Pelodiscus sinensis: one gene and its partners. The protein of the gene in region 4 interacts with the protein of the main gene of each other region in a biochemical or structural test. Links are inferred from orthologs where the notes say so. Each region holds a gene or a part of one and is shown on either strand. Other genes may lie near its edges. The genes, in order: IKBKB, macrophage migration inhibitory factor, CUL2 and COPS5.

Evidence for each region.
Region 1: of the proteins of COPS5 (region 4) and IKBKB, one has a biochemical effect on the other in vitro, tested with the Homo sapiens proteins (2 studies listed by BioGRID). The link is inferred for Pelodiscus sinensis from reciprocal best matches to the Homo sapiens genes COPS5 and IKBKB.
Region 2: the proteins of COPS5 (region 4) and macrophage migration inhibitory factor form a complex in vitro, tested with the Homo sapiens proteins (2 studies listed by BioGRID). The link is inferred for Pelodiscus sinensis from reciprocal best matches to the Homo sapiens genes COPS5 and MIF.
Region 3: of the proteins of COPS5 (region 4) and CUL2, one has a biochemical effect on the other in vitro, tested with the Homo sapiens proteins (3 studies listed by BioGRID). The link is inferred for Pelodiscus sinensis from reciprocal best matches to the Homo sapiens genes COPS5 and CUL2.

The regions. Positions count from the first base shown.
Region 1 is NW_027465860.1:407,414-414,363, reverse strand, and holds the start of IKBKB (inhibitor of nuclear factor kappa-B kinase subunit beta), read left to right. Parts: upstream 1-3,949; 5' UTR 3,950-4,094; coding exon 4,095-4,196; intron 4,197-4,503; exon of another isoform or gene 4,504-4,534; coding exon 4,535-4,629; exon of another isoform or gene 4,630-4,643; intron 4,644-6,950.
Region 2 is NC_134725.1:6,004,482-6,011,479, forward strand, and holds the start of macrophage migration inhibitory factor, read left to right. Parts: upstream 1-3,982; 5' UTR 3,983-4,112; coding exon 4,113-4,220; intron 4,221-5,860; coding exon 5,861-6,033; intron 6,034-6,998.
Region 3 is NC_134712.1:231,951,312-231,959,129, reverse strand, and holds the start of CUL2 (cullin-2), read left to right. Parts: upstream 1-4,807; 5' UTR 4,808-4,966; intron 4,967-6,621; 5' UTR 6,622-6,660; intron 6,661-7,818.
Region 4 is NC_134712.1:57,851,498-57,858,696, forward strand, and holds the start of COPS5 (COP9 signalosome complex subunit 5), read left to right. Parts: upstream 1-4,188; 5' UTR 4,189-4,256; coding exon 4,257-4,408; intron 4,409-4,709; coding exon 4,710-4,944; intron 4,945-7,199. UniProt on the Homo sapiens protein: Probable protease subunit of the COP9 signalosome complex (CSN), a complex involved in various cellular and developmental processes.

The DNA of each region.
Region 1 (6,950 bases), on a different chromosome or scaffold from region 4:
CAGACATTATAATTGTGCCCGGGGCCCCGCCCCTGCCCCCGGCTGGCCTGGCAGCACCGCGCGGTGCCCCTTACAATCACATGCCCTGGGCTAGGGCCCGGTCTGCCCATAGCTTGGGCCGGCTCTGATTACGACCTTGCATATTTTCAGTTTCCTTTATAGAAATTTCCTTTGTATTATGCTGTTTCTTGTCAGCTGACAGGGCCCATTGCCCAGTGTTGTGTGTTCTTTAAAGAGGCTTTTGTAATACATACAAACAAGGGGGCCATGTTCCTGTTGATACTGGAACCTTAAGTGTGAATTTCCTGACTCCTGTTCAAGTGAAATGTGAATCTTAAATTTGCAAAGGTCTGACCCTGAGATGTGCTGGGCCCAGTGGGCCCTCACTGCCTTCCATAAAGAGTGTCTCTCAGAACCTTCTCTGGTTGGGACGGAGTATTTTGGGTCTGTGGAATGTATCCATTCTCAGTAAAGAACCTGTGTGTCTACACGTTCACATCCCTAGTGTCCAGAAGGGAACAACATATCAGGCTATTAAAAGGCGCTTTGGACAAGGGTCATACCAGATTGCTGAAATGTCTGGTAAATAATTAGTAAATCTTACACTCCTTGGGGAATTTCCAGCCCATTGTATGTCAGAGGAAATGCAAAGTTACAGTAATGTGCTCTCTCCTGAGCCTGCAGGTTGGACCCATCCCTCCTGAGAAAATCCACTCTGCCACTTCCATCCCCGTAGACATATTTTCCCATTAATATCTTAGGCATTTGCACTTTCACTCTAGGTGTTGATCGGGTAGCTGGCTCCTAGGCTGTACCTCAAATGGCATTGGTACCATTTGGAATTCACTATCTCCTTGGACAGCAGAAGCTGACAATGGAGAAGATTATCCTACTTGGCGAGCACAAGCCAAAGAGATGATGGAAGACAATGAGATTTCTGACAAAGTTAAAAGAAGCCCACTTGTAACTGACAGCAGGCAGATTTGAATCTGGGATCTCAGGAGCTTAGGGTGTGTCTAGACTACATGCCTCCGTCGACGGAGGCATGTAGATTAGCCAGATCGGCAGAGGGAAATGAAGCCGCGATTAAAATAATTGCAGCTTCATTTAAATTTAAATGGCTGCCCCGCTCTGCCGATCAGCTGTTTGTTGGCAGATCGGGGCAGTCTGGACGCGCCGCGCCGACAAAGAAGCCTTTCTTGATCGGCACAGGTAAACCTGGTTTCACGAGGCATACCTGTGCCGATCAAGAAAGGCTTCTTTGTCGGCGCGTCGCGTCCAGACTGCCCCGATCTGCCGACAAACAGCTGATCGGCAGAGCGGGGCAGCCATTTAAATTTAAATGAAGCCGCGATTATTTTAATCGCGGCTTCATTTCCCTCTGCCGATCTGGCTAATCTACATGCCTCCGTCGACGGAGGCATGTAGTTTAGACATACCCTTAGTGTCTACAATTTGAGCTATAAAACCACCGGGCTCTCGGCTTAGGTTGTAGAGCGCCCTTGTTCTTCACTCTTGCTGTAAGTGGTCTAAGAACCACTATGGGACAGTGAACCTTACTAAGTGTGGGGGTTATACCTGCTTCTGATCTAGATCAGGTTGAGCCTGACCCATTTGGTGAACTTGGAGATCCCACGTGTGGGCCTATTCCTGAGAACGTGGGGCTACTGCTGTGCTTTAAGATTTAATGTGGATGCTGCCAAGGCAATGATAACAGCTGGTTCAAATTGCTTCAGATCAGAATGTTCAATGCTAGACCCTTCCATCCACTAACAGTCAGTGGAAACAAGATGTGGAGAAATTGGAGAGGGTCCAGAGAAGAGAAAGAAAAATGATTAAAAGTCTAGAGAACATGACCTAGGAGGGAAGACTGAAAGAATTGGGCTTGTTTAGTTTAGAAAAGAGAAGGCTGAGAGGGAACATGAGAGCAGTTTTCAAGTATCTAAAAGGGTGTTACAAGGAGGAGGGAGAAAAATTGTTCTCCTTGAGCTCTGATGATAGGTCAAGAAGCAAGGGGCTTAAATTGCAGTAAGGGAGGTTTAGGTTGGACATTAGGAAAAAGTTCCTACCTGTCAGGGTGGCTAAACACTGGAATAAATTGCCCAGGGGGGTTGTGGAATCTCCACCACTGGAGATATTTATGAGCAGGTTAGACAGACACCTGTCAGGGATGATTTAGATAGTGTTTAGTCCTGCCTGAGGGCAGGGGACTGGCTCTTGAGGTCCCTTCCAATTCTATGATTCTATGAATAGTAATCTAGGGTATGTCTACACTGCCACCCTAGTTCAAACTAGAGTGGCTAATGTAGGCATTCAAAGTTGCAAATGAAGCCCGGGATTTAAATATCCTGGGCTTCATCTGCATCTTGCCAGGCATCGCCATTTTTAAATCCCCCTTAGTGCGGACTCCGTGCCCGCGGCTACACACGGCATGGAGTAGGTAGTTCGAATTAGAGAGCCTAATTAGCCTAATTAGGCTATCTAATTCGAACTGCCGTTACTCCTCGGGGAACGAGGGGGAGGTGGAGGACAACTGGAGGCTGGAGGATCAGTGTTGGGGTGAAGGGAAACGGTGCAGGGGGGCAGCTGGAGCTCATAGGCAGCTGGGCTGCCTCACAGGAGCAAGTGGCGCAAACAGCCATTTGGGCTCCGTGCTCCCCATGCAGGAGGAAGAGAAAAGAAAGAGAGAGTGAGAGGCAGGAGGAGGAGGAGAAGAGAGAATGAGAGGTAGCAAGGGGAGAAGAGAAAGAGAGTGAGAGGCAAGAGGGGAAGAAGAGAAAGAGAGACGGAGAGAGAGGCAGGAGACAGAGGAGAGCTGAGAGAGAGAGGGGGGAGGCAGTAGGAGGAGGGGGGAGAAAGAGAGATGGAGTGAGAGACTGGTGGCTCAGGAGAGAAGACTGAGATAGAAAGGGAATAGTATGTGGAGGACAGACCTGAAAATCCCGTTTTATGATGGGCTAATTGGCTAGTTGCAGAATACCCAACGCAAAAATTCACTGGCTCATTGGAGGCTCTCCACAATCTAACCAGTGACTCTGTTCACTGGCTGGAGAGCATGGACGTCCAACTTTGATGAAGAAATACAGTGTTGACCACGGCATTCGAAAGAAGAAGACTGCCATAGAGATTCTATGAAACATTTTGGTTCATTTAAGTTTTTTACTTCATTTGATTCTACATTTTCTTTCATGTATAGTGCCGCTCCTCCACCAGGTGACCTGCTCTGTCCTTCCGATATATTTTGTACCCTGGTATGACTGTCCCATTGATTGTCCTCATTCCACCAAGTTTCCAGGATGCCTATTATATCAATATCCTCCTTTAAAATGATGCACTCTAGTTCATCACCTTATTATTTAGACTTCTAGCATTTGTGTATAAGCACTTTAAACATTTGTCACTCTTTGTCTGCCATTTCCTGATGTGTTCTTCTGATCTGACCCATACTTCCATCTTCTGTTCCTGACTAGAACACAGAGAATCTCTATTAACAGCCCCTCCCCTAAGCGATGTCTCTGTCTGATCCATGTGCTCTTCTGCACCGTCAGCTTCCCCCCAGCCCTTAGTTTAAAAACTGTTCTACAAACTTTTTAATGTTAAGTGCCAGCAATCTGGTTCCATCTAGGTTTTGGGGGAGCCCATCCTTCCTGTATAGGCTCCCCCTATCCCAAAAGTTTCCCCAGTTCCTAATAAATCTAAACCCCTCCTCTCTACACCATCATCTCATCCAGGCATTGAGACTCAACGCACCGGCCCTGCTCAGTATGATCTGTGGTACCCAGGCCTCCAGTTCAGTAGGGCCTGATGCTGCATAAGCAGCGTCCCGGGGAAGAGCCAGTCCCACCCCCTGCCCCGCGGGGCGGCGGAGCGAGGCTTGTTCGGGGCGAGCGCTCGGTGCGGGCCGGGCTCTCGCCGCAGCGCTGCGAGCTGCCGCCTGCCCCGCGGACCCAGAACGCGCCGAGGGCGCCGGGGCGGGGCCAGGCACGTGACGCATCGCGGGCCCGGGGAGCCGGAGCCTGCTGCCGCCAGGGGCGCGCGCGGCCTGTTCCCGGGGCCGCCGAGCCGGAAGCGCCGGGCAGCCCCAGCCCCGCAGCATGAGCCGGGCCCCGCTGCAGAGCCCGGCCTGCGGGCCCTGGGAGATGAAGGAGCGGCTCGGCACGGGCGGCTTCGGCAACGTCCTCCGGTGGCACAACAAGGTACCGCGCCCGCCGGCCCCCGGGCCCCCCCGGGCCGCCCCCGGCACCCCCCGGGCCGCCCCCGGCATCCCCGGCCCCCCCCCCGCGCCGCCCCCGGCCCCCCCCCCGCGCCGCCCCCGGCCCCCCCCCGGGCCGCCCCTGGCATCCCCGGCCCCCCCGCGCCGCCCCCGGCACCCCCGGCCCCCCCCGGGCCGCCCCTGGCATCCCCGGCCCCCCCGCGCCGCCCCCGGCACCCCCGGCCCCCCCGCGCCGCCCCTGGCATCCCCGGCCCCCCGCCCGTGCGGCGGCACCTCCCCTCGCCTCTCACCGCCCGCCCGGCCTGTCCCCTCTGCCTGCAGGAGAGCGGCGAGCAGATCGCGATCAAACAGTGTCGGCAGGAGCTGAGCCTGCGGAACCGCGAGCGGTGGTGTCTGGAGATACAGATCATGAAGAGGTGAGCCTGCCCCGGCCCGCAGTCTGAGTGCGGGGGGCGGGGGGCGGGGGAGCCGCTCTCAAGCACTCGGAAGTGGAAGTCTGACTCCACGGACTGCTCCCCAGACGGGATCTGTTCTGCTAGGAGTCGGTGCTGCCGCCTTTTATTTACCCCTTCTGTTTGTTTCATTGGAAATAAAGATGAGTAATTTGCTGCTGCTTCTGCAGAGACAGTGGGAAAACAAAGGTGCTTATGCTATTGTGATGGGGCGTGATCAGAGAAGTCCCCCTCATATAGGTCCCCATGAGCTGATCATGCCACTGATGCCCCCTCTTGCTCTCTGGGGCTCCCCACCACCCTGTCCTGCTGGGCCAAATCCTCCCGTCTCCTTCCGACAAGGCAAAGAGTTGGGGTAACTGCTCCCCTGCAGAAGAATGCAGACACTGAACCACGTCAGCTCTGGGAGGACTCAATTCTGCAACTCAGCACCCAAGAAACTACCACTCCAAAAGGGATCAAAACTCCGAATAGAGCTGTCTTCCTGAGTGTAAAAGTTTTACACAAGGAAAGCTTAGTCTGCAGAAGCGAAGAGCAAGGGGGGATTTGATAGCAGCCTTCAACTTCCTGAAGGGAGGTTCCAAAGAGTAGTGATGGATGACAGAACAAGGAGCAATGGCCTCCAGTTACAATGTGGGAGGTCTAGGTGGGATATTAAAAAATTAATGGAGATTGCCTATCTCCTAGAACTGGAAGGGAGGTCATTGAGTCCAGTCCCCTACCTTCACAGCAGGACCAAGTACCATCACTGATGACTATTTGCCCCAAATCCTTACATGGCCTCTACAAGGATTGAACTCACAACCCTGGGTTTAGCAGGCCAATGCTCAAACCACCAGCTATCCCTCCCCAAAGCTGGGAAAAACTATTTCCCTAGGAGGGTGGTGAAGCATTGGAATGGGCTCCCTAGGGAGGTGGTGGAATCTCCATCTCTAGTGGTTTTTAAGTCTTGGCTTGACAAAGCCCTGGCTGGGTTGATTTAGTTAGGATTGAGCTTGCCTTGGGCAGGGAGCTGGTCTTGATGACCTCCTGAGGTCTCTTCCAGCTCTAGGATTCTGTGAAAGCTCACAAGGATGTTAACCCTCTTTATTCAATGAGAGAGAGAGAGAGATACACATAGTGGTTTGCTCCCCCCAAGTAGCAATTATTTACACTGGGCCTGATAATAAAAAAACACTTTTGTTTACATGCTACTTTCTGTACTTACTAAGTGGCTGCAAGTGAAAACATATCAAAGTAAGTTACTAAATTAAAATGAAAAGTCTCAGAGGGGCAGCCCTATTAGTCTGTAACTTTAAAATTGAGTAATCCTGTGGCATTTTAGAGACTAACAAAAAATACACAGTATCATGAGCTTTCATGGGCAAAACCCCCTTCATCAGATGAATAAAAAGCATACAGCTAGTTCTAATCTGCTAAGAAACTTGTTACATGCAACTTCTTACCCATGCGTAATGCAGGAAAGGCCTTCCCAAAACTGCCTACACTCTCCAGCCACCCAGGAAGTTTGGGGCTGGGGCTTCCTGTGGACAGGGGTTTCTCTGGATGAGAGCAGCTCCTGTCCACGGTAAGGATGTTAAAGACTAGTTGATTATCCGATAAGCATTTGCTTATCGGATAGTTAGTTGACTAGTTGATCCCCCCCCCTTGCTTCCGCAGCAAAAGGGAGGAGGGAAGAGGGGGTGCTTCAAGGGGCAGCACCTCACAGTTGATCCCTGGCTGACCTTGGGTTCTGGGGAAGTGCCGGATGGAACCCTTGGTCAGCTGGGGATTTCCCAGCTGACCCTGGGCTCTGCATGGCATTTCAAATCAGCAGCATGGAGCCCAGGGTCAGCGGGGGACCCCAGACTCCATGCTGCACTGCTGCTTTGAAATGCACAGGGGCCCCCTCTGGGGACTCTTGTACATTTCAAAGTAGGAATGCAGAAGTGCCTGTTGACTAGTTGATAGAAATTCGATTGACTACTCGACCAGTAAATTAACCGCAATTTGACATCCTTAGTCCATGGTGGGCCCCCTGTGGGACTGGAGCGGGGGGGGGGGGGGGGGAGTGTGCCAGACCCCACCGGTTAACCAGGTAATCTTTCAGATAAGAACGGCCACACTGGGTCAGACCAAAGGTCCATCCAGCCCAGTATCCTGTCTGCCGACAGTGGACAATGCCAGGTGTCCCAGAGGGAGTGAACTGAACAGATAATGATCAAACCACGTCTCTCCTGCCAGCCATCTCCATCCTCTGACAAACAGAGGCTAGGGACACTATTCCTTACCCCAGTGGTCCCCAA
Region 2 (6,998 bases), on a different chromosome or scaffold from region 4:
GCAGAGCTTCAGCAGCTGCTCCCCCAGCGAAGCAAAGTGATCCTGGGAAGGCAGCAACCGGCATGGGGGCACATGGGGCACATTCAGCACCAGTGTGCATGGCAACTTCCTCCTCCTGTGGGCTGGGGGCCCCTCCAGGGGGGAGGCCACCACTGCGATGTGCTGCCCACAGCTTTGGGACATGCCTTAGGTAGAATCCGCCACCCAGGACAGAGGGGCCAATAATAAAGTGCAGGGCCATGTGCGGGGGAACTGACTGCACACACCTCATGCTGGCCCTGCTTTTCGTGACAGGGCTATATCCACACAGACTTGTGGCTAAAAGCTGTAGAGTGAAGCTATAACCTCCGTCGGCACATTTTAAACTAACGGTAGGGCGACCCTGCGAACCCTGCCTGTATCTGTATTAGCAAAAGTGTGTCCAAAATTGTACTTACACTAAAAAAAACCCATAGTTGTCGGTAGGTAGGTAACTGCTTAGAGGAAAGCAGATCACATCTGCTTCAAAAGGGCAGTATCAGGTCCTAGGATTTGGAATGTGCAGAGACAGCAAATGGACAAACTCCACTCATTTATCCCCCCTCCCGCTTTTCAGCAGCTGAGCAATTTCCAATGACATAGAAGACTGGAATGGAAGCAGGGCCAGCTCTAGTTTTTTGCCACCCCGAGCAAAAAAAATCCCGCCCCCCTTTTTTTGTTGGCTTTTACACGTTTGCACTTTGCAGTGTTTTGTTTGTTTGTTTTCATTTTTGTTGTCCCGGCATTTTAGCCCTATAAATAGCAAATGTAATCTTAATTATTTTTTTTCCATAAATGCAAAAGCACTTCAAGTAAACTCCCTCTCCCCTTTCACTTGCTGCTGGGTCACAACAGCCTTTTCCCTGCCCTGTCCAGCCCCGCCCTATGGACAAGCACCCCTCACTCCCAACCCACCGGGGCAGCAGAGCCAGCACAGAGCCAGAGGGGCAGGGGCAACAGGGGGAGCAAGGGGACTGGGGTGCTGGGGTGCACAGAGCCAGAAGGGTGCAAGGAACAGTGTGGGCATACAGGGGTGGCACAGGGAATGGGAGGCGCAGGGTGCGGGGTGCAGAGGAGGCACAGGGAATGGGATGCAGGGAACGGGAGGGGCAGAGGGATCGGGGTCCAGGAGCAGTGCAGGAAATGGGGGACACAGACCCAGAGGAGTGCAGGGAAAAGGGGCTGCGGGGTACAGAGGTGGCACAGAGCCAGAGAGATGTGGGGACTGGGGTGCAGGGGCAGCGCAGGGAACGGGTGGCGCAGAGCCAGAGGGACGAAGGGAACAGGGAGAACAAAGGGACTGGGGTGCAGGGGAGCAGGGTGCGGGGTGCAGGGGCGGTGTGGGGAACGGGTGGTATGGAGCCAGAGGGGCACGGGGCGGGGCGGGCACAGCGAGCCGGGCAGCCGGCAGGGAGCGGTCTCTCGCCGGCCAAGGGAACTGGGGCCGCCGCAGGACTGGAGCCAGCAGGGAGGGGCAGAGCCTGGCTGTGCCGCGCTCCGCAGCCAGCTCCCGGGGACACACAACCAGAGCCAAGCTCCCTTTTAAATTGTCAGGGCGGGGCGGGGCTGGGCAGTGCCGGGGGATGTCTGCTTACCTGGAAATGTCGCCCCTGGAATTGTGCTGCCCCAAGGATGTGCTTGATTTGCTGGTATCTAGAGCCGGCCCTAAATGTTAATTAGGAGCTTAACCCTTTTGAGGATCTGGACCTAACTGCTTTGCATTGCATTAAAAAAAATGTTGGGTGCGATTCCAGCATCTTAATTTTTTCAATACCTTTCTTCCTGAGATTTATTATTTATTGTTATTATTATTATTATTATAAAATACAGTAGAACCTGAGAATTACAAATACCTCGAGAATGAGCATTCTTTGTAACTCTGAAATGTATGCAGCCCTGAAGAAAAAGTTATGGTAGCTCTTTCAAAAAGGTTACAACTGAATACTAACAATACAGCTTTGAAACTTTACAATGCAGAAGAAAAATGCTGCTTAACTTTTTTTTTGTAAGTTTACATTTAATGCAGTGCTGTATTGTATTTGCTTTTTGTTTATTTTGTTTCTACTGCTGCCTGAGATGTACTTCTGGATCCGAATGAGGTATGTGTTTGACTGGTCAGTTCATAACTCTGGTGTTCATAACTCTGAGTCTCTATTGTATGAGGCCATGCTTAAGTGAGAACAAAAGGCACAGGTCACATTTTATAAAGTATGCTGTGTAACCAAAAATGAATGCTTAAACTCGTGTGTGCATGTGCAACATATACACACTCCAAGTGAGTTACACATGCACATGGGCAGTTTTAGTGAACATGCAAGCCCTATGCATACCTGAAATCCAAAGAGAGGGCCCAACATTGCCTCTCAGTGTGTAGGGGAAACCCGCCAAAGTGGAGAAGAGTACATCCACAGCATCACTCCCGAGAAAGACCATAGATCCTCTCCGTACAAGAACAGCAGCATGGCTAGGGTTCTACTGTTTTGGGGTTGGCAGACCAGGGAAAGTGAGAATATCTGGGGTGCAGTCACTGACTGCAGCACGCTCCTCCCCCTCTTCCCGTATTGCATAAATTCCCAGAAGCAATACCCTTACCTTCCTGCAATCTTTCAGGGAGCTGGAGGTTGGGGAGCAGAGAAGGAGAATGATTTAAGCAATTGCAAGGAATAATAGAGACAGCTCATTTTTCTAAATGGTATTACAAAAACATCTTAAAACATTCACCCGTGTTCTTGACCCAGACGCTGCCTTTCATTATTTATTGTACACTGGTTTTGTGGGTCATTACTTATTATAGGATTATGTATATATTGGCTCTGTCTGTGTGTGTTGTGGCCCTCCATTTATATATATAGTGTGTGTGTGTGTGTGTGTGTGTGTGTGTATTACCCTCCATTTTGTGAGTCATCTGACTAGTGCGAATTGGGGATGACATGCTACCTACCAGTCTGCCTGAGCAGCATTGGGGAAAGCTACGTGCATCTCAGCACGCAGCCCAGCAGAGGGCTCATGTCCCAAGCAGCCTTTGGCTTCTACATAAAGGCAGCTCACTCCTCTTCAGGCACGAGCCAGGATCAGAGCACGTCTGCATAATTCAGTTCCAACAAGAACACAGACTATAGACTAGTGATAGAGATGCAGCCCTGTTAGTCTGGTCTAGCTGAAACAAAAGACAGGACACAATAGAGAAATCGTGGCCACAATCGTTTCCTATGTAAGAGTGAAAAGCAAAAGAGAAGAACTGTAGAACTCATGCCAGCAACACAGACATAAGCCATGGTTTGCATTATGTGATGGGGGTGGGGGGAAGAGAACCAGGCAAACCCAAACACACATGTTTGTATATAAAAAAAGTGCAGAGGGCTACCATTTATTTTGCAAATAAAAGAGCACTTTCTGGGTAGAACTTGCGTGTTTGCCCCCATCCTGCAGACCGGCTTATGGTAGGTGTCACCCCACCATCCATAGTCCCACTGAAATCAGAGGATGGGCGGGACCTATTCACAGCATAAGTCTTTATCTGATATTAGCCTCATACAATGGCTTATCTGAGCCAGGGCCAGTTCTTACAGCGCCCAGCACAACGGGGTCCATAGGAGAGCCTTTGGGTATTCCCGCAATATAAATATGTATATAAATATTTATCAGTATATAAAATACAGAATCTACACATTTCATAGTTACAGGGATATAAATTCTATTGATATAGAATGTATACAGTTATTTAATAAAATAATAATAAAGCAAATGCCTGAGCAAAGGGAGGCATGGGGAGACGCCCGGCAGGAATGACGAGGGGAAACTACACACACTTCACATCCAGCAGGTGCCCCAGGACCGCGCTTGAACGGATTGTGCAGTTGCCAAAATGCGCTGCGGAGAGGGACCCGTGTTTGGGGCGCTGCTGTCCCTTTAAGAATCTGGCCTAGCGCTGATCACATGGGCTGCATTTCGGAGCATCCAGCGAGGGAGGAGGGCAGGGTCTCCGGTTCAGCTCCATTTTGCAGCAGCAGCGGCGGCGGCAGCGGCGGAACGGGTTGCTGCAGGGGCAAAGGGTCCGCATTGCAGACAGGGGCAGTTCTTTGCAAGGCTCCAAGATGCCCATGTTTGTGGTGAACACCAACGTGAGCAAGGACGCGGTGCCGGAGAGCCTGACGGGGGAGCTCACCCAGCAGCTAGCAAAGGCGACCGGCAAGCCTGCCCAGGTGAGTTGCGGAGGCTGTAACTCCATCCCGGCGCTGCAGGTTGCTTGCAGAAAGGGCAAGTCGCAGCGCCGACGGATGCTAGAGTTAGCCGGGAGCCTTGGTGCTGGTCTCCCCGCTAGGGGCTTTCTTTCTCACCCTAGCGGAAACAGAATTGAGTCTCTTGTAACTATTCTCAGTGTAAAGGGGAGATCTCTAATTTCTCTGGACAGCCTTTAGTCCAGCTTGGGTTGTCTGTCTGGGGGAGTGAGGCGAGACGGGGATGGAAGGCCTGCAGCACGTGGAAGCGTGCTTGCATGGCCCCAGGGGGCTGGCTGCTTCTCCGCTGTGGAATAAATGACTGTGCGTCTGACTCATAGGCAGAAGTGACACTACACTGCCTCGTGGACAAGGCCAGGCGCTAGGGGTGCATGGTTTGGGCGGGTTCTCGCATGCTTATCTGCTCGTTAAAGCGAATAAACTATCCCAGTTTGCCATAGAGAGGTGTGCTTGTGGGAGGGAACGGTCCTGTTAAAATGGGTAGGTTCCCATTGCAATGGGTGTATAACCTGGCAAGTAACCTTACTAACCTGGCAAGTTCCTGTCACCAAGTATTTTGCTCTATGAGGTCCACAAAAGCAAGATCAAAATGGGTCTTCGCTATTAAAGAATGGTGTGTACAAAAGACTAATGCTACCTGAGGTCACCATTTTTTGACTGTGTTGCAAGAAAGCCCGATGGGACATTAAAACTTGCCACAGAGGGCAGCAATGGGTAAGAAGGATCGTGACTCAGCTCCAGGCAAAGTTTCATATCCTGTTAAGTCAAGAAAATGTTCCACTAATATCCTGCACATACAGAGGCTTCTCATCCCCAAAGCTCTCAGACACTTTGCAAATATGGGTGTGCATCTTTGGCTTCTCTTAGCAGAGGTATAGAGTAGCCAAGTAGCTTGCCTTAGGTGATACAGTGGCTATTATCTGCTGGAATTTTCTGTGAATGTCCCTTCCATTTCACAGTAATGGGAGCTAAAGCTCTATTAGCATCAGAGTAGACAGCCCATTATTGTTTTGATCACTCTGTTATCCTAACATGCCTGTAAGCAGGCTTAGCAGATGAGGTGGCCATGGGCTTACTCCATGAATTGCAGTCACACTATTTCAGTGGTACTGGTGTAAAATGAGAACCAAAAGGCTGGTGTACCAACAGTCAACACCAGTGAATCTGTGGTAGAGCAAGCAAGAGAACAGAGCCCTCCTGTGCTTAAAGTTTTATAGATTTATGGGAGCAAGCTGATTGGTCAGTGGCTTCTGTAATGTGCCATGTATAGAGGCTAACAATTATAGCCCTACCAATAGCTGAACATTGACTGGCTAGAAAGCAAGTCCTATTGAATATTAGCGTCAATGAAGAGGATTACTAAGTCATTCTTCACAGAATTATTTAAAATTAAGCTGGGGGGCTACATCGCTATGTGTCTGGCAAAGGTACTGTACTATTGCAGTGGATGCTTTAGAAATGTACAATTAAACACCACTTGTGCTTGCCATAGCTAATCCCAGGAAACAAGCCTGCTCTCTGGATTCCAACTAAATACACCTCAGAGGAGAGAGATTGAGGACGGAATATTAACCTCCTCACTAACAGTTGATTTTGTTTCGCAGTACATAGCTGTGCACATTGTAGCAGATCAGCTGATGTCCTTTGGAGGCTCCACGGATCCCTGTGCCCTTTGCAGCCTGCACAGCATTGGCAAGATAGGAGGCCAGCAGAACAAGAACTATACCAAGCTGTTGTGTGACCTGCTCACTAAACAACTGCACATACCTGCAGATAGGTAAGGCTGCACTAGAGTGACATTCAAATTACTGGCTTGCCTAAATTATTTCTTTGGATTCTCTATTATGCTCCCTGGTGGCTGTTGTTTATTAACACCCAAGGGAAAACTCTTATCTATTGTGAATAGAGAGATACAACTTTCAGACTTCACAACAGTCGTGTGCTGGTGCCATGAATTGGCCCCAGATTAATGTGGTTCAGGTGGCTCTCAACCTTTCCAGATTACTGTACCTCTTTAAGGAGTCTCTGGCATACCCGCAAGTGTTCTCACTTAAATACTTGCTTACAAAATCAGACAAAAATAGCTTACTTTCTTATTTTTACCATAGAATTATAAAATACATGAGAATATAAATATTGAATATATATATTTCATCATACAGCCCTATAAACAAGTCATTTTATGAAATTGTAGTGTGTACTGACTTGACTTGTACTTTTTATGCAGTGTATTGTAAAACTACGCAAATATCTAAATGAGTTGATGTATCCCCAGAAGACCTCTGCATACCCCTTGTTGAGAACCACTGGTCTAGTAGGCTACCTATAATCCCAAGTGGCTGGCTGATATAGTATAATCTGAGCCTTGGGAGTTAGGGTTAAATATGATACACAAATGAATAATATTCAGTGCCCTCTTCTTTTTTTTTTTTTTTTTTTTTTTCCTGGCATGAAGGATGATCATTGGGCACCTTGGGGAGTTTGGAGGTAGGCAAGGAGACCCAGAAGAATTCTGCCACTTGACAAGCAGCTGCTGTTCTGTCAGCCAGCAAGGGAGTAGAGCAGCAGTACCCAGTGGCAACCAGGAGGAGCTGCTGCTGCTGCCTATGTGTGAAGAGGCAGGGATTAGTGATGTTAGCGACTAGTTGACTATCCGATAAGCAAATGCTTATCGGGTAGTCAAATAGGAACTCGACTAGTCGCTTCCCCACCCCTTGCTGCTTCTGTCAGAGGCAGCAAGTG
Region 3 (7,818 bases), about 170 Mb from region 4:
ATAATAGGCTTCAGTAGCTAGCTTTAATTTTTGTGATGATTGTAAAACATGAGTTAAATCTAAGAAAATGGTCGTGCATTTTTTTTCTGTTTTTTCCTGGGTTTAGTGTTTTGTTTTTTTTCTTCTTCTTTTTTTCCATACAGTCCACCTTGGCCCACACTCCTTATCAGCCCTCATCCCTTCTGTATAGTCAAACACCCTCCTTCCCCCATTTTAATTAGTGGGGAAAACACTGTTCCTGTCAGATTTCCAAATCATTTCAGCATACTTTAATTAGGAATGTGAAGGACTAATCGATTATCTGATAGCAAATGCTTATCGGATAACCAACAGGATAGTTCATTAGTCATTTCCCCAACCCTTGCTACTTGGGAAGGGAGGTAGTTCAAAGCAGCAGCCCTGCACAGAGCCTAGGGTCAGCTGCTCTGTGTGGCGCTGCCACTTTGAATGCTGTGAGGAGCCAGGATCCCCGTGGCATTTCAAAGTGGCAGCGCTGCGTGGAGCCCAAGATCCCCAGCTGACCCCGGGCTTCGGTGCTTTCACTTTTGAAGTGTAGCAACAGCTTAGAGCTCTTGCTACACTTCAAAGGTGGAGGCACCCTATTGACTAATCAAATAGACAATGCAAAAATGCATCGACTATTCGATAGTCAATTACATCCTTAACATCCTTAATTTTAATGACAAAAATGAGGTTTACTGCTATAAGTACTATGGAGATGATACAGCTAGGAGAGGACAAGCTGAGTTCTAAGTTAACTCTTATATCCTAATCAGAATTAATAAGGAACCCAATACTGCTCCCACTGGAGTCATGTGAAAATAAGCAGACTTCGGTGGGGAACAGGGTCAGACTCCAAGATTCATTTGCAGAACTCTTGTAGTGTTATATGACAGCCAGAACAGCTTAACTGTGATACAAGATCGAGTTTACTGTTTTAAAACAAAAAACTCAATCTGGTTATATGGAATGAACAAGCCTGATGTGGAAGCTGTTGAGAGAATTATTAAGCCATTTTTAATGTCTTTTCAGGATATAACCACTACTGGATTATCAACTAGAGGTTTCTAGTTTCTAGATATTATTTTAGTTAAGCAAGTGAAAAAATTACTATAACATATGTGGAGTGTGTGCAAGGGGATGAGTGTATATGGGGGCTGTCATGCTTATATAATACAAGATTAGCTAAACTGCTTTTGGTCAAACTTAAACACTTAATTAAGCTGCAACCAAACAGTATTTTTTCTGGATGAAACTTTCCATATGCATCATGAAAGGAGAATTAGAAATTAAACTGCATTTCTAAACAAGGTATCAATTGCATTAGCAAAGGCTACAATGTATTTTTATTTTGTCTGGGTTCAGAAAGTCATTGGCTGTTTTCTTGTCCTTTTTTCTTGTCAGTCTGAACTTTCAAATAGAAAAAAAATACAAAAAAATCTCACCAGAGGAAGCAAACTTGTTGAGATGTAATTGTTAGTTATTTTTTCTGACCACAACTTTAAAAAGGAAGCCATGTTTGAAGAAAATATTTTTAAAGTTCTTAATGCTGAAGTGAACAATTTTACACATGCACTTACATTATTTTCTATTGCTTTGTTAGGCTGCAATACATAGAAGTAGCTACTGTTCACTACTATGTAACTTAGCTTAAGCAACTTTTCCATTTAGGGTGCATCTACACCACACTCTTACCTCAAAATATGCTACATAATTTGCTTACATAATTTCTGAATAAACTGCTATTCCAACAAGTCCCGTATCCCTCATGGAACAACGGTTACAGGGACACTGGAATAGCATGCCTGTTGTTAACAAATTTATTTTGTTTAAACATTACATAAGAGGAGTAGACAAAGCCTGGCATTGCCTGCAACTCTCTGTAGTTGAAAATCCCACCTTCCAAAAATGGGATATTACCTTGGTCTTGCAGTCACACACTTGAATCCTGAGGTAATAATCAGTAGCTCCACACTAAGGGTGTGTCTAGACTACATGCCTCCTTCGACAGAGGCATGTAGATTAGCCAGATCGGAAGAGGGAAATGAAGCCGCGATTAAAATAATCGCGGCTTCATTTAAATTTAAATGGCTGCCCCGATCTGCCGATCAGATGTTTGTCGGCAGATCGGGGGAGTCTGGACGCGATGCCCCGACAAAGAAGCCTTTCTTCATCGACACAGGTAAGCCTCGTGAAACCAGGCTTACCTGTGTCGATGAAGAAAGGCTTCTTTGTCGGGGCATCGCGTCCAGACTCCCCCGATCTGCCGACAAACAGCTGATCGGCAGATCGGGGCAGCCATTTAAATTTAAATGAAGCCGCGATTATTTTAATCGCGGCTTCATTTCCCTCTTCCGATCTGGCTAATCTACATGCCTCCGTCGAAGGAGGCATGTAGTCTAGACACACCCTAAGGATGCTCAGTTGCTTTGGAAAAGGTAAAGGGCTCACTGTCTCCCACAACTTCCCATATGGTTTGCATCTGAGGCTGGGTTGCAGAGTCCCCTTACATGACCAGGAAGATACTAGCAGAAGTCACCTTGCTCACTGAGGGTATGTCTACAGTGCAGGGTAAAGTCGAATTAAGATACACAACTTTAGCTATGTCAATTGTGTAGCTGAAGTCAAAATAGCTTAATTTGGCTTTTGGTGCTGTCTACACAGCCAGAAGTCAAAGGAAGAACACACTTCCTTTGATTTTCCTTACTCCTCATAAAATGAGGGTTACAGGAGTCAGACTAAGAAGTCCTCCAGTTTGACATTATTTTGAAATAATGGCTTGCTGTGTAGGTGCTCACTTTGTTATTTCAAAATAACATCAGTTATGCCAAAATAATGCTGCTGTGTAGATGTACTCTGAGTAACAGTGTTCTAGGGAGACAGGGAGATGGCTGGACCGTGTCTAGAGAAAAATGGCCTAGCCTGCTGGAAGAATGGGAGATTAGCAGAGGTTGGTAAGGAGGAGCCTGAGCCCAACTAAATTTAGGAAGAAATTGAGGGGTAAGAATTGAAGACTGTGAAAGTAAAGGCTTGATGGATTGTTTGGGGAGGGTGAAGAAAAGTAGGAAGTACTGCAGTGGGGTATCTTCTTTGAAAGAGGCCATTCATAAATTATTTCACTCTCCGAGGGAGAAGACATATTACAGATGTGATTTATCAGGATGAGAAAAGAGCAGAGGAGAAGCGTAAGAGGTAAGGGACAGATGGAGAAAGTCAACTGTGAATATACATAACTTTCTGCACATATTAGTTTTATGTATATCGGTTTACACTTTTTGAGGCGCCAATGTGGGTAGGTTTGTGGTGGAATTTAGCAGTTCTACCAATTTATACAAATGGTATAAAGGCATCATGCAAAATAGCAGTCTCCTGAGTTATGTCCTGACTAATTTTCACTGTTCCTGGTGACAGGCAGGTAGGATTGCTAATTTTGGTTTGATGTATTCCTGAAGGCTTCATCATGAGACATAAATTATAATTAAAGATTAATCTGTAATTCCTGGAGATTCTGGAGTTTGGCACCTCTGCTGGGCTCTGCTGATTCCCACTGCATATCTTCCTTGAAAGCTGAAGAAGAGGCAGCTATGCAGAATATTTTGAGAAATCTCAGTGAGTGGGAGGAAGGAACACATCAAGCTGTGAGAACTGTATGGGTAGTGAGATATTTGTTATTAAATATGTGGCGATGTGAGAGCTCCAAGTAATCACACTTGGGTGCTGCCTTCACGGGAGAGAAAAAGTGAGCTTGTGTGAAATTACAGACTGGCTTGCCTTCACTTGGCCTTCATCTTGCCTTAATTAACTCGGCTCAACACATCTTCTTTGTCCCTGGGTGGGGAGAAGATTGTGGGGGAGTTGATAGCGGAGGCAGCAAGGGAGTTAACTATGAATGTGTTTAGAGATATAGATGCCTGTGACTAACCTCCAACTGTCTTGTAATTATAGGAGCTTTTTTTTAATATACTGTACCTCAGGCTAGTAATAGTATGGGCTCAATAGTAAATGTATAAAAGGTGCTTTATAGATATCTTGAAAGGCTGCATGCTCTGTCTCCTGCCTCTCCAAAAGGAAATCAGACTCCAATGGAGCGTGGAATGAGACCTTGCTGGCGTACAGACTTTCCTACATGCGACTGCTTCAGGCTTCCTTGCACTGAATCTCTTCCTGTGCTTTTAATTCGGTGACAGGTTGGAGGCATGCAGAGTGGGGCGCGGCTGTATCGGAGGACATAGCACTGGTGTATGCTTGCAGGATGGGCTGCACTTGCATGAGGGAAAGCGGGTACAGCGACCGTAGCAGAGCTAGCGCTGTGGTGCTGGAGACCGGTGCGAGCGGAATCCCGCGTGTATAACTCGCGTAGCCCTACAAGACACCACCCCGAGCCATACAATGCGAGCAGCGCACATCGACTCACTAGAGCGACTTCCCGAAAAAGGAGCACGCGCAGAGAGCGTGTGGAAGCTGGTGAGTAACACATGCGCACCGCAGAGAAGGGAAATCAATCCGAACGAGTAGCGCGAAGCATGCGCATGCGGGCCCCGTCTGGCCCTGCGCTAAGGGGAGTTCAATTAGTTATTTACGGTAACAAAAGTCGAATGAATTTAGACCCTCTGCTGTACCCGTAGTCTGGACTGTACCAAACCGGCCGGGGGAGAGGTGCATCGCGCCCAGCCCTGGCTGTTCGCCTAGTGCCACTGGGCAAGCGCCAGCCGTGGCCGGTTGTGCGATTTGAAGCGCACGCAGCGGGGGCGGGTGAGTATCAGGCAGGCCCGGAGCGCGCTGGGGCCGGAGTGAGGGAGGTGCCCCTCCCCCCGCGGTCTGCAGCGCAGTGGCGGCGCCGGCGGAGAGACGGGGGCCGCGGCCGGGGAATGGCAGCGGTGTGAGGAGGGCGAGCGGGGCAGGGACTGCAGCCTCAGGACGCGAAGGGAGGGGGGCCGGCTCCGCTGAATCCGGCCTGTGCTGACAGGTAGCCGCGCGCTGCAGGCGCCTCCGGCCCGGTAGCGAACGCCGCGGGGAAGCGGAGCGGGGGCTTCCCCGGGCTCCGAGCGGGCTTGACCTCCCCGCGCAGGGCCTGCTGGGCCGGGCCCCTCGGGGAGGCGGGGGGTGTTAGCGGCCGCCGAGCGCCTGCCGGCCCTGCCTGCGCCCCACATCCTCTCGCCCTCGTGACGGGTTTTGTTCTCCCCACGCTGCGCCGCCGGGTTGAGGTCCCGGCCATGTTGGGCTCCCCGCGCCCGTCCTGAGCTCTGTGCCTCGCAGGCCCCGGTATCTCTCCCCCTCCACCGCGCCCCGGGAGCGTTACCCCCTCGCGCCAGTTTCGCTTTTGCTTTGTGAGTGACTAATATGGGTGCGAAGGGGCAGGGAGGTGAGAGACCCGCAGCTGTAGTGGGTGGGGCGGCAGGGGCTGCTCCCCCTGCTCGGTTCTGCTCCTCGGCGATTTTCAGGGCCCTGGTTGCTGGACTTGACTAATTAAATTATTTTCGATATTCTAACTTTAGTGCCCCACTCTCCCCGGTCGTCCCCTTCTCCCCTCCCCCCCCCCACTTCTTTTCCTGGCTGCCACCCAGCACTCCACCCTTGTGAAAGCAAAAAACACATAACATATGTCTGTAGAACTATTGGGGTCTTTGTATGTTCGTGAAACCTACGCTTGCTGGTTCCTCTAATTCAAATAGGGTATCTGGGGATGGGAACCAAAGGATAAGAAAACCAATGGCTATGTAAGAGGGGTAGCTGTGTTAGTTGGTTTCTGCAAAACCACCAAGGAGTCCTGCAGCACCTTATGCTAAAAAAATTGTTTTTCTTTAAGTTAAGTGTAGATCTTTGTCATTGATACAGCTTGGTCTGAAGTAAGCTGTACTAGTCTAAGTTGCTTTTTATATTAGTGCAGTGTGTCCACATTGTAGCTACTCTTAAAGAGCAGAGAAATTCTGCTTAGGTCTCATCAAAAAAGTGTTCCCACTCTTTCTAGTGTAAGTGTGTGCTTTATCCTTTTAGGTAAAGATTAGTTGTATTTGTTGGTTGCCAAAGACATGCTTTATTGTAGTTTGTTTCCTAGCTTCTTCTACTGGAGTTCATCCTCCCGTTGGAATAGATAAGCCTCAAATCTCTTCCTTTCCTGGGATTCATTATAAATTGTTGCCATTTGTGTGAATTCATGTTAACAGTAACAACCTTCTATGTGGAAAACACTTTTTCTTTAAACATCCCAGTGTACACTTGATGAATGTTTCTACTAAAATGAAAATACTAACACACAACAATGATGTATTAGTAGTAATAACATGGCTTTTTAGAGAGAGTATCCTGATTTAACTTGATATTCTCATCTGTATAATTGTCAAGTACTACTCAGAATCCTAATAAGATGAGTTCCATAAGCCAATTTTTTTAATATAAATATATTTTTCTCTTGGTTCAGAATTTGTTGCCTTGAAATTTTATTAAAAATTCCAGTTGTTTTTGTGTGAGAAGGTAAATAGAAATGCCCAGTCCACCGTCTCTTAATGCATTTTTCTGCTTTGTGTCCTCTTCAGACTACACAGATGTAATATTTGCAGTCTTTTATATGCAAGCTTTTTTCATGCTTCTAAACACCATCTATTTCCATTATATCCATTTTAGAGAAAGTGGCCAATGCTGAATACGGTATCCTAAGTGAAGGTATGCTCTCGTCTCTGTAATGGTTTTTATATTATACATCTAAACACTGACTGTGGTTGATTTTGCACGTAGAAATATGTTGATTATTAAACGTTTTAGTTTTTATAATTTTATGCATTTGTCAGCATTTTATCAATTTCAACAGTATTGTTGGATGGTTAGGTGCTCTTGTCCCATGCACTTCTGTATTGGGAGTTAATGTGTACAGTCTTTCCTGTGCCCTGCTCTTGGCTGAGTTTGGAACTCAGAAGGGGTTGACTTTTATTTAAAGATATCTGGATCTTTGCTTCCTTGTATAGGACAGGCTTTACCATACCTACTTCTGAGATTTTTTTTTTTTTTGACCCTTTGAAGCACTGATGTTACCTTTATTTTGGGTCAACTGTCAATTGCCTTATTTCTGTTACTTTCAAGCAGTCCCTGCTGACCGCAGATTGTTTGGAAGTTGTATAGGAGCCCTATGTAACTCTGTAATCCACTGGGCTAGGAAACATTCATATGTGGGGGGAGGGGAAGCAAGATTTTGCTGAAGTACAGGACACACTTAGGCTATGTCTACACTTTCGGCTTCTTGCGCGAGTAATATGCAAATGAGGCTAAGCGTGGAATATCACCGAGCCTCATTTGCGTACCTAATGAGCAACCATTTTTTCAGAAGAGGCTCTTGTGCAAGAAGGAGCATTTACACTGCCCCTTCTTGCGCTAGAAAAACCCTCTTGCACAATGCCGTTTCACGTATTTCTTGCACAATGCCATTCCTGAAAAGTAATACGTGTAACGGCATTGCGCAAGAGGGTTTTTCTTGCGCAAGAAGGGGCAGTGTAAATGCTCCTTCTTGCACAAGAGCCTCTTCGGGCAGGGGGGAGGAAGGTGGCTCATTAGGTATGCAAATGAGGCTCGGCAATATTCCACGCTTAGCCTCATTTTCATATTACTCGCGCAAGAAGCCGCAGGTGTAGACATAGCCTTAGGGTACTTTTCAGCCAGTAGTAAATACTTCAGAAGATAACAGCGGTTACTAGCTAGTAGGTGAGTGTGCTGACACATGCAGTGAATTCCTACGTTATCGGGCTAGTACCCTTCAAGTTGAGCAGCTTTGTCATAAATCAGTGGTCCCCAATGTTTTGGGGCTGCCGGGCACCTGGGGGCGGGGCTGCT
Region 4 (7,199 bases):
TCTTTTGCTTATATTCCTCTTAATTTCCCTCTCCCCCTCCGGTACAATAAAGCTCTGTAAAGCAGTTCAGTACAGCTTATATGAAAGACGCTACGAAAATAAATATGCATTACACAGATGCATGACAGTGTCTTATGAGAGGAAAGAAAAATAAAAATGCCTGGTTATTAAGACAAGCCAATGAGATACAAACTGCGAAAAACCGATAGCGCATTAGAGCGACCAGGGACACGCCGCCGCCGGGCACCGGGGGGCAGCAGCAACAGCAGCGCGGGGGGGGGGTAGGGTTACAAGGCGCTGCCCCGCGCAGAGAGAGGGGGAAAGAGACACCAGAGCGGGCCCGAGTCAGGCCACGTTCCTCGCACACAGCGCGGCGGCCTCGGGCTCTGCCTCTTTAAGACGCTACTCAGCGTTGTTAGGCAACCAGGCTACAACAAAAACTGCTGCGGCTCCAGCCTGGGCCTAGCGCGCCCCCCTCCTCGGCCTCCTCCCTGCCTCGCGAGGCCTTTCGTTCCCCGGAGGGGCGCAGACACCCCCGCGCTTTCCCCCGGCCGCCACCGGAGGGGCACAGGTCCCCCCGCCCCGCAGCGAGGCCCTGGGGTGCTCGCTTCTCCCATCCCGGGGCGGCTCACAGCGAGGGGGCCGCAGCCCCCGACTCCCCGTCCGCGCCTCAGACACAGGCAGGAGACCAGAGCGGCCGCCCCAGGGGGCAGGTGACGGGGCAGAATTGCGTCCCGCGCTCCCGGGAGGGGGGCTCCCTGCGCCCCACCCCTTAGCCTCAGCAGCCGCCGTTGAGTTCCCCGGTCCCGTTGTCACGGCTGCAGCCAGCCCGCGGCGTCACTCACCGGTTCACCGTCGGGTTTGCAGGCGGCAGCTTCAGCTCCAGCTCCCGCCCTCGTCCTCTCACTTTACCGCCTCCCCCGGAGACTTGCCGCCAGACCTCCGCGGCTGCAAACAGCGCCCCCTGCTGCGCGGGAGCCGGGACCGGACTCCCGGTGTGGATGTGCGGGGATGTCTCTCGTTTCGTACCCGATGCCTGCCAGGGAGCCACTCCCGGCACGCGAGATCCTCATGCACAATTCTCCTCCCACCCGGTACACAGGTGACCATCTGGACCTAAACAAATACCACACAGAGGACATACCGTAGAACCAGACAAGGATACTGCACGGTCACGAATACCTCCATGTAGTGGACCCCATTCTCTCCCTCCCAAAAGTGACACTGTACCCAACCATCACATACAGAGGGCCATCTTCCTCCTACCCCTCTCCCACACACAAATCCTAGGACGTGGAGGGCTGTGTTTGCAGTTTGATTTTTTTTAAAGCAGGAGTGTAAACCAAGAATGAGAACTTTGCCACTATTTTATTGTCAATTGGCCTCTCTGCTTCTACTCTTCTTGCTAAGTATCAGAGGGTTATATATGGTTGTGACTACTTTCTTCCACTATTTGATCTGAGGAAGTGGGTCTGGCCCATGAAAGCTCATCATCTAATAAACCATCTTGTTAGTCTTTAAAGTGCTACATTGTCCTGCATTTTGCTTCAACTACCCAAGACTAACACAGCTACATTTCTATCAGTAGGGTTAGCTGTGTTAGTCTGAATCTGCAAGAGTCCTGTGGGACCTTATAGAATAACAGATTTATTGGAGCATAAGCTTTTGTGGGCAAAGACCTACTTCGTCAGATGCATTGTAAGGGACAGGGGAGCAGGACCAGGGACTGAGCCAGCATCTTTGCGCACCAGCTCCCCTGTCCCTTACAATACAGAGCAGTAGTCGGGGAAGTGGGTCTTTGCCCACAAAAGTTTATGCTCCAATAAATCTGTCAGTCTATAAGGTGCCAAAGGACTTCTCATCACTTTTACTCTTTATGCTGAATCTACTTCCCCTGCAAATAGTGTTTCCATATGACATCAAGAATGGAGACCTTCCCAGCTCTCTCATTTCTTCCCTTCTTATAGCCCATTACAAGGGCCCAAAAATTCATTAAATGTGAGACAAAGGAATAAGTGTAATATGAAGCATAACTTTAAATTTGTTAATATAAACATTCCATATATATATATAATGACCCTGTAGCAATCAGTAGAGCTCTGCAGGGGCACAGACCTCTCACACTGATGCAGAATCAATAATAGGGCCTTGTGTAGGGCCAGACATTTGCATTTTCATCATGTCCCATTTTCCTAACTTGGGTTTTCCATGAGCAGAACCATGTGCAGGGATTCCACTACATGATTAAGATCTAGCTGTGCATGACACTTTACAGTACGGGTGGGCAACAGTTTTTTTGCCAGGGGTCGCCTGGCCCTGGGCCGCTCCGGAAGGGGCGGGGCCAGGATGGTTTCCAGGCTTCCCCACCCATACTCCATGATTAATCTAGGGGTGGAGGAGCCCCTTTGTTCCTCCTTCCCACTAAGCACCCATGCCCAATGGTAGATGGAGACTTCCCATGTCCCCCACCCTCAGGCCAATCAGGGTCTGGGAGCCAGGGCCACAGTATGACTTTTGTGGGCCCTAGGCACTTTTGCCTTCATGGGCCCCTTCCTCCATAAAAAAAAAAAAATATTAAAAAGTATTTTGATATAACTTTAAATACTTAAACATTTTTTTTCTGTTTTAGGCAAAATGTAATAGATTTTCGTGGGCCCTAAAAGTTTCATTTTTTTCTGATGTGAGAAAAATATTAAAACATTTTCTTTGACCCTAAAAGTTCATTTTTGTCTTCTGATTTTAAAAGAAATTAAAACATTTTCATGGGCCCCTAAAAGTATCATGGGCCCTAGGCACTGTGCCTAATGGATAAACACTTATAAGTGCTGCGTGCTTTTTGCAGGGCAGGGATAAGGCAGAGGAAACTTTGCGGGTTCCTCCTGCTGCCAGGCCAATCAGGCGGTGGGGGTGGGGGTGGAGGTGGGGGAGCATGCAAATTCTCCTCCCGTCGGTGGTGACTTTGTGTGCTTCCCCCCACACACAGAAGCTCTCTTGCCCACCCTTGCTTTACAGACATAGTCATTACCAGGGTTTGCTGAACAGCGGTGAGCCCTGCTCGCCAGCTGCGTTGTCCCCCCAAACCCGCAGATCACCCAAACCCAATTCTTCCGGGTTACAATCTACTCACCCATGTCGAGTAGATTGTATTATTTGTCAAGCCCTGATCATTACTAGGCATATTAAAATGCATTTATTTTTGTAAACGTGTGGCAGCTGGTGCTTTTAAGCCAGCTCCCCACACATGCTGGCTTCTGTCTCCTTCTTCCTTCCCCCTTTCCCCTCCCCCCCCTCCACTGCTGCCTCTGTATTAGCGAGGAGGGAAAGGTGGCTCCTTGGGAACTGGCATGCCTGGAGAGTAAGCTTAAAAACCAGCTCCCCACTGCACACCAGCTCCCAACTCCCAGTCTCCAGTTCCATCCTACATTTTGAACCCCTCATTTCTGCCCCTCCCCAGAACCCACACCCCCAGTCCAAAATCTGTGCCACATCCTACACCCCAGCCCACTGCTTCAGCCCAGAACTCCCTTCCATATGCCTAATCCCTTGGCTCCACCCCACACACTAGAGTTCCCTCTTGCACCCCAAACACTTCATCCCTGGTCCCACCCTAGAGCCCACATCCCCTCCTACACTTCAATCACTGGGCCAGCCTTGTGAAAAAGAGTGAATGAGGGTGAAGAAAGCAAGCAACAGAGAAAGGAGGGATGCAGAGAGCAAGGGCAGGGCCTTGGAAAAGGAGTAGGGGGTAGAGTAAGGCTATTCCGTTTTGCAGAAAATCAGCAATCCTAACCAAGATGGCTAGGACAGACTTTTTAAAAATGAAGTTGAGCTTCTCGTGTCCTCCCATTTCAGGAGCTGAAGATTTACCTAAGAAACCAAACATCAGGAGACCCAGGATTACATTGTGAGAACTAGCAACGCTTGACCATCTGTTCATTTCCACACTGCGACATCCCTAAGTTGTTGCGTGCGCAACTACTGAGATCACCTGCACAGCTAGCTGAGCGTGGTCTGTGTTACGCATGTGCGTTGCTTATCCATGGCCCCGCTGTCAGCCGGGCATGGTTCTGAGTAGGGCGGTACTTCTAAGACTGGCCTCTAGGGGGCGCGCTGCCCAGGAGGTTTCAGGCTTTGCGGACTGTACCATTCCCAACCCTCCCCCAGTTTCTATCGGGACATTCCAAGCCTTGGCTCCCCCCTTCTCGCGCCCGACACTTGGTTTGCGCGGCGGCCGGGTCGGGCCGGGCGGCTGGGGGATGGCGGCGGCCGGCACCTCCGGGAGCGGGATGGCGCAGAAGAGCTGGGAACTGGCCAACAACATGCAGGAGGCGCAAAGCATCGACGAGATTTACAAGTACGACCGCAAGCAGCAGCAGGAGATCCTGGCGGCCAAGCCCTGGACCAAGGAGTGAGAGCCGGGCGCGGGGGAGCGTTCCGGGCTATGGGGGCGGGGAGGCGGCGGGGCCCATGGAGCCCGGGGAGGCAGCGGGGCCACCCGTGTGGTTTAGGTCCTGAAGTCAGCAGCATTTCCGGCGGGTGGCGGTTAAGAGGGGCCCTGGGTAGGTGTTGATAAACGCCACCCAGCTACTTCTCCCTTCTTTCCCTCCCCCCCCCCCCCTTGCTGTACTGTGCACGTTTCCTCTGTGTGTGTTTGCCTGCCTGGTCATGTACCTGTCCTCTCATTAATATCTCTCCGCTCTTTTCTGTAGCAACCACTACTTCAGATACTGCAAGATTTCGGCTCTGGCCCTGCTGAAGATGGTCATGCACGCCCGGTCTGGAGGCAATCTGGAAGTAATGGGGCTGATGCTTGGGAAAGTGGATGGGGAAACTATGATTATCATGGACAGCTTCGCTTTACCTGTAGAAGGCACTGAAACCCGAGTCAATGCTCAGGCTGCTGCATATGAATATATGGCTGCATATATTGAAAATGCAAAACAGGTAAATAAAGAGATCCGTTGTGCCAGAAGATAGGCTATTGGTGCTGTAATAACAACTCAGTGTCAAGCATGAAATCTTTGTATTTCACAGCTATAGCAGTTATACATAATATGTATAGTTGGCTTCATTTACACACACATTCACTCTCTCTTCTTCCCCCCCCCCTTATTTTCCATCAAAAGAAACCCTAAATCTCCTTTGAGAAGAAAAAATATAAATCACGGAGTATATAGACAGCATTGGCAACTACCAGTAATTGTACTTTAGAAGATATGAACATTATACAGAATGTTTGCATGAAACATAACTGAAATAGTTCTTTCCTCTACCCCCTGCCTTTCCATATAGACTTCCATTCACATGTAGGCCCTAATCCTCCAATGGGTTTAGTGCAGACAGAATTGGTGCTTTAATCTCTGATGAAACTTGCGAACATGTAGTAGGTAAATATAATAAAAAGTTCCAAGCTGGAACTTTCTATTATATTTACCTACTACATCATATACTTATTTTATATTAACCTCACACTGCAATCTTGATAGTGATGTAGTGCAGAATGAGCAGTACATCCCATACATGTTTCCAGGTTCAAATAGTTCCTCTATCTATAGTTGAATTTTTGTATTTCATTAACTATATCTAATACAATTAGAGACACTTGTTTCATTTGTGCAAAGTTCTCCTAAATTTAATGGTGAAACTCAGGTTGCAGGGTTAGGGAATAAGAATTGCTGCTGTATTTACAGCTGGATTACTTATAGATTTCAATATAAATTATGAGTTGGAATAGATTATAATGTACAGTAACTCCTCACTTAATATTTTTCAGGAATATAACTCTACGTTAAGCAAAGCTAATTTTCCCATAAGAATTAATGAAAATGCAGGTTAGGTTCCAGGATATGTTTTTCCAGCAGGCAAAAGGCAATGTGTGTCTCTAATATACACAGTATGAGTTTTAATAAATTTAATACTGTACACAGTAGAGATGTTAAATTTCAATTAATCAACTAATCAAGTAGCCGAAGTGGGTCTTTGTCCACGAACGCTTATGCTCCTACACTTCAGTTAGTCTATAAGGTGCCACAGGAGTCCTCGTTGTTTCTGTAGGGTTAATAAGACCACAAATATTATTCTTTGTTGAAATAATTTAATGATGTATAGTGATCTGTTCTAGCTGTACCTATTAAGCATTTAAACTGTAAAGCAAGTACAGTAGACTTCCAATAATCCAGCACCTTTGAGACCTAGGTGGTGCCAGATTATTGGATATGCGGGAGTATCGGGAGGTACTCCGGCGGGGGGCTGTGACGGGTCTGCCAGGACCCGCACTGTGTCTGGGGGGTGGGCAGGGAATAGCACGGCGAGGGGCGAGCCCTCTGCCATTTTGCAGGAAGGTGGGGGAAGCCCCACACCGCTGCCGAGAGTTTCTGGGAGGGGAGCGGGCTCCCCACCCTCCAGACTGCAGTAGTTATCGCTGAGCAGAGGGGTGAGGGTCGGTGCTGCGGGACCAACCCACAGCACCCCTGCTGCTCTGCTCTGCCGCTTGTCCACCGCTCATCAGTTTCAGCAGCGGCAGTGGCGGACTTGAGAAAGCGGCGAAATAGAGCAGCTGGGGTGCTGCTGGGTTGGTCCCACAGTACCGCCCCTTACCCCCTGCACAGTGCCTGGCAGCACCCCAGCTGCTCTGCTCCGCCCCGCCGCTTCCCCAAGTCCGCCACTGCTCCTTATGAAATTAATGAGCAGCAGACAAGTGGCAGAGCAGAGCAGCTGGAGTGCTGCCGAGCAGCGAAGTGAGGGGCGGCGCTGTGGGACCAACCTGGCAGCACCCCAGCTGCTTTGCTCTGCCACTCGTCAGTTTCAGCAGCAGCAGACTTGGGGAAGCGGCTGAAACTGGCAAGCAGTGGAGCAGAGCATCTGGGGTGCTGCTAGGTTGGTCCCGCAGCGCCGCCCCTCGCTCCCCTGCTCGGCGATAACTACTGCAGTCTGGGGGGTGGGGAGCCCATTCCCCTCCCAGAAACTCTCGGCGGTGGTGTGGGGCTTCCCCCTCCTTCCTGCAAAATGGTGGAGGGTTGGCCCCTCGCCGCCCCATTCCATGCCAGTAGCTTCAATTGTCCGGCTGGCCGGAGCACTTGCACTTCCAGGTTCCAGTTGGTGCCGGACCACTGAATGCCGGACAATTGGAGTTTTACTGTAAAAAGATTCTTTGGTTTTAAGCCTGATTCTGTTTGTTTAAAATTGGTGCCTAAACATCC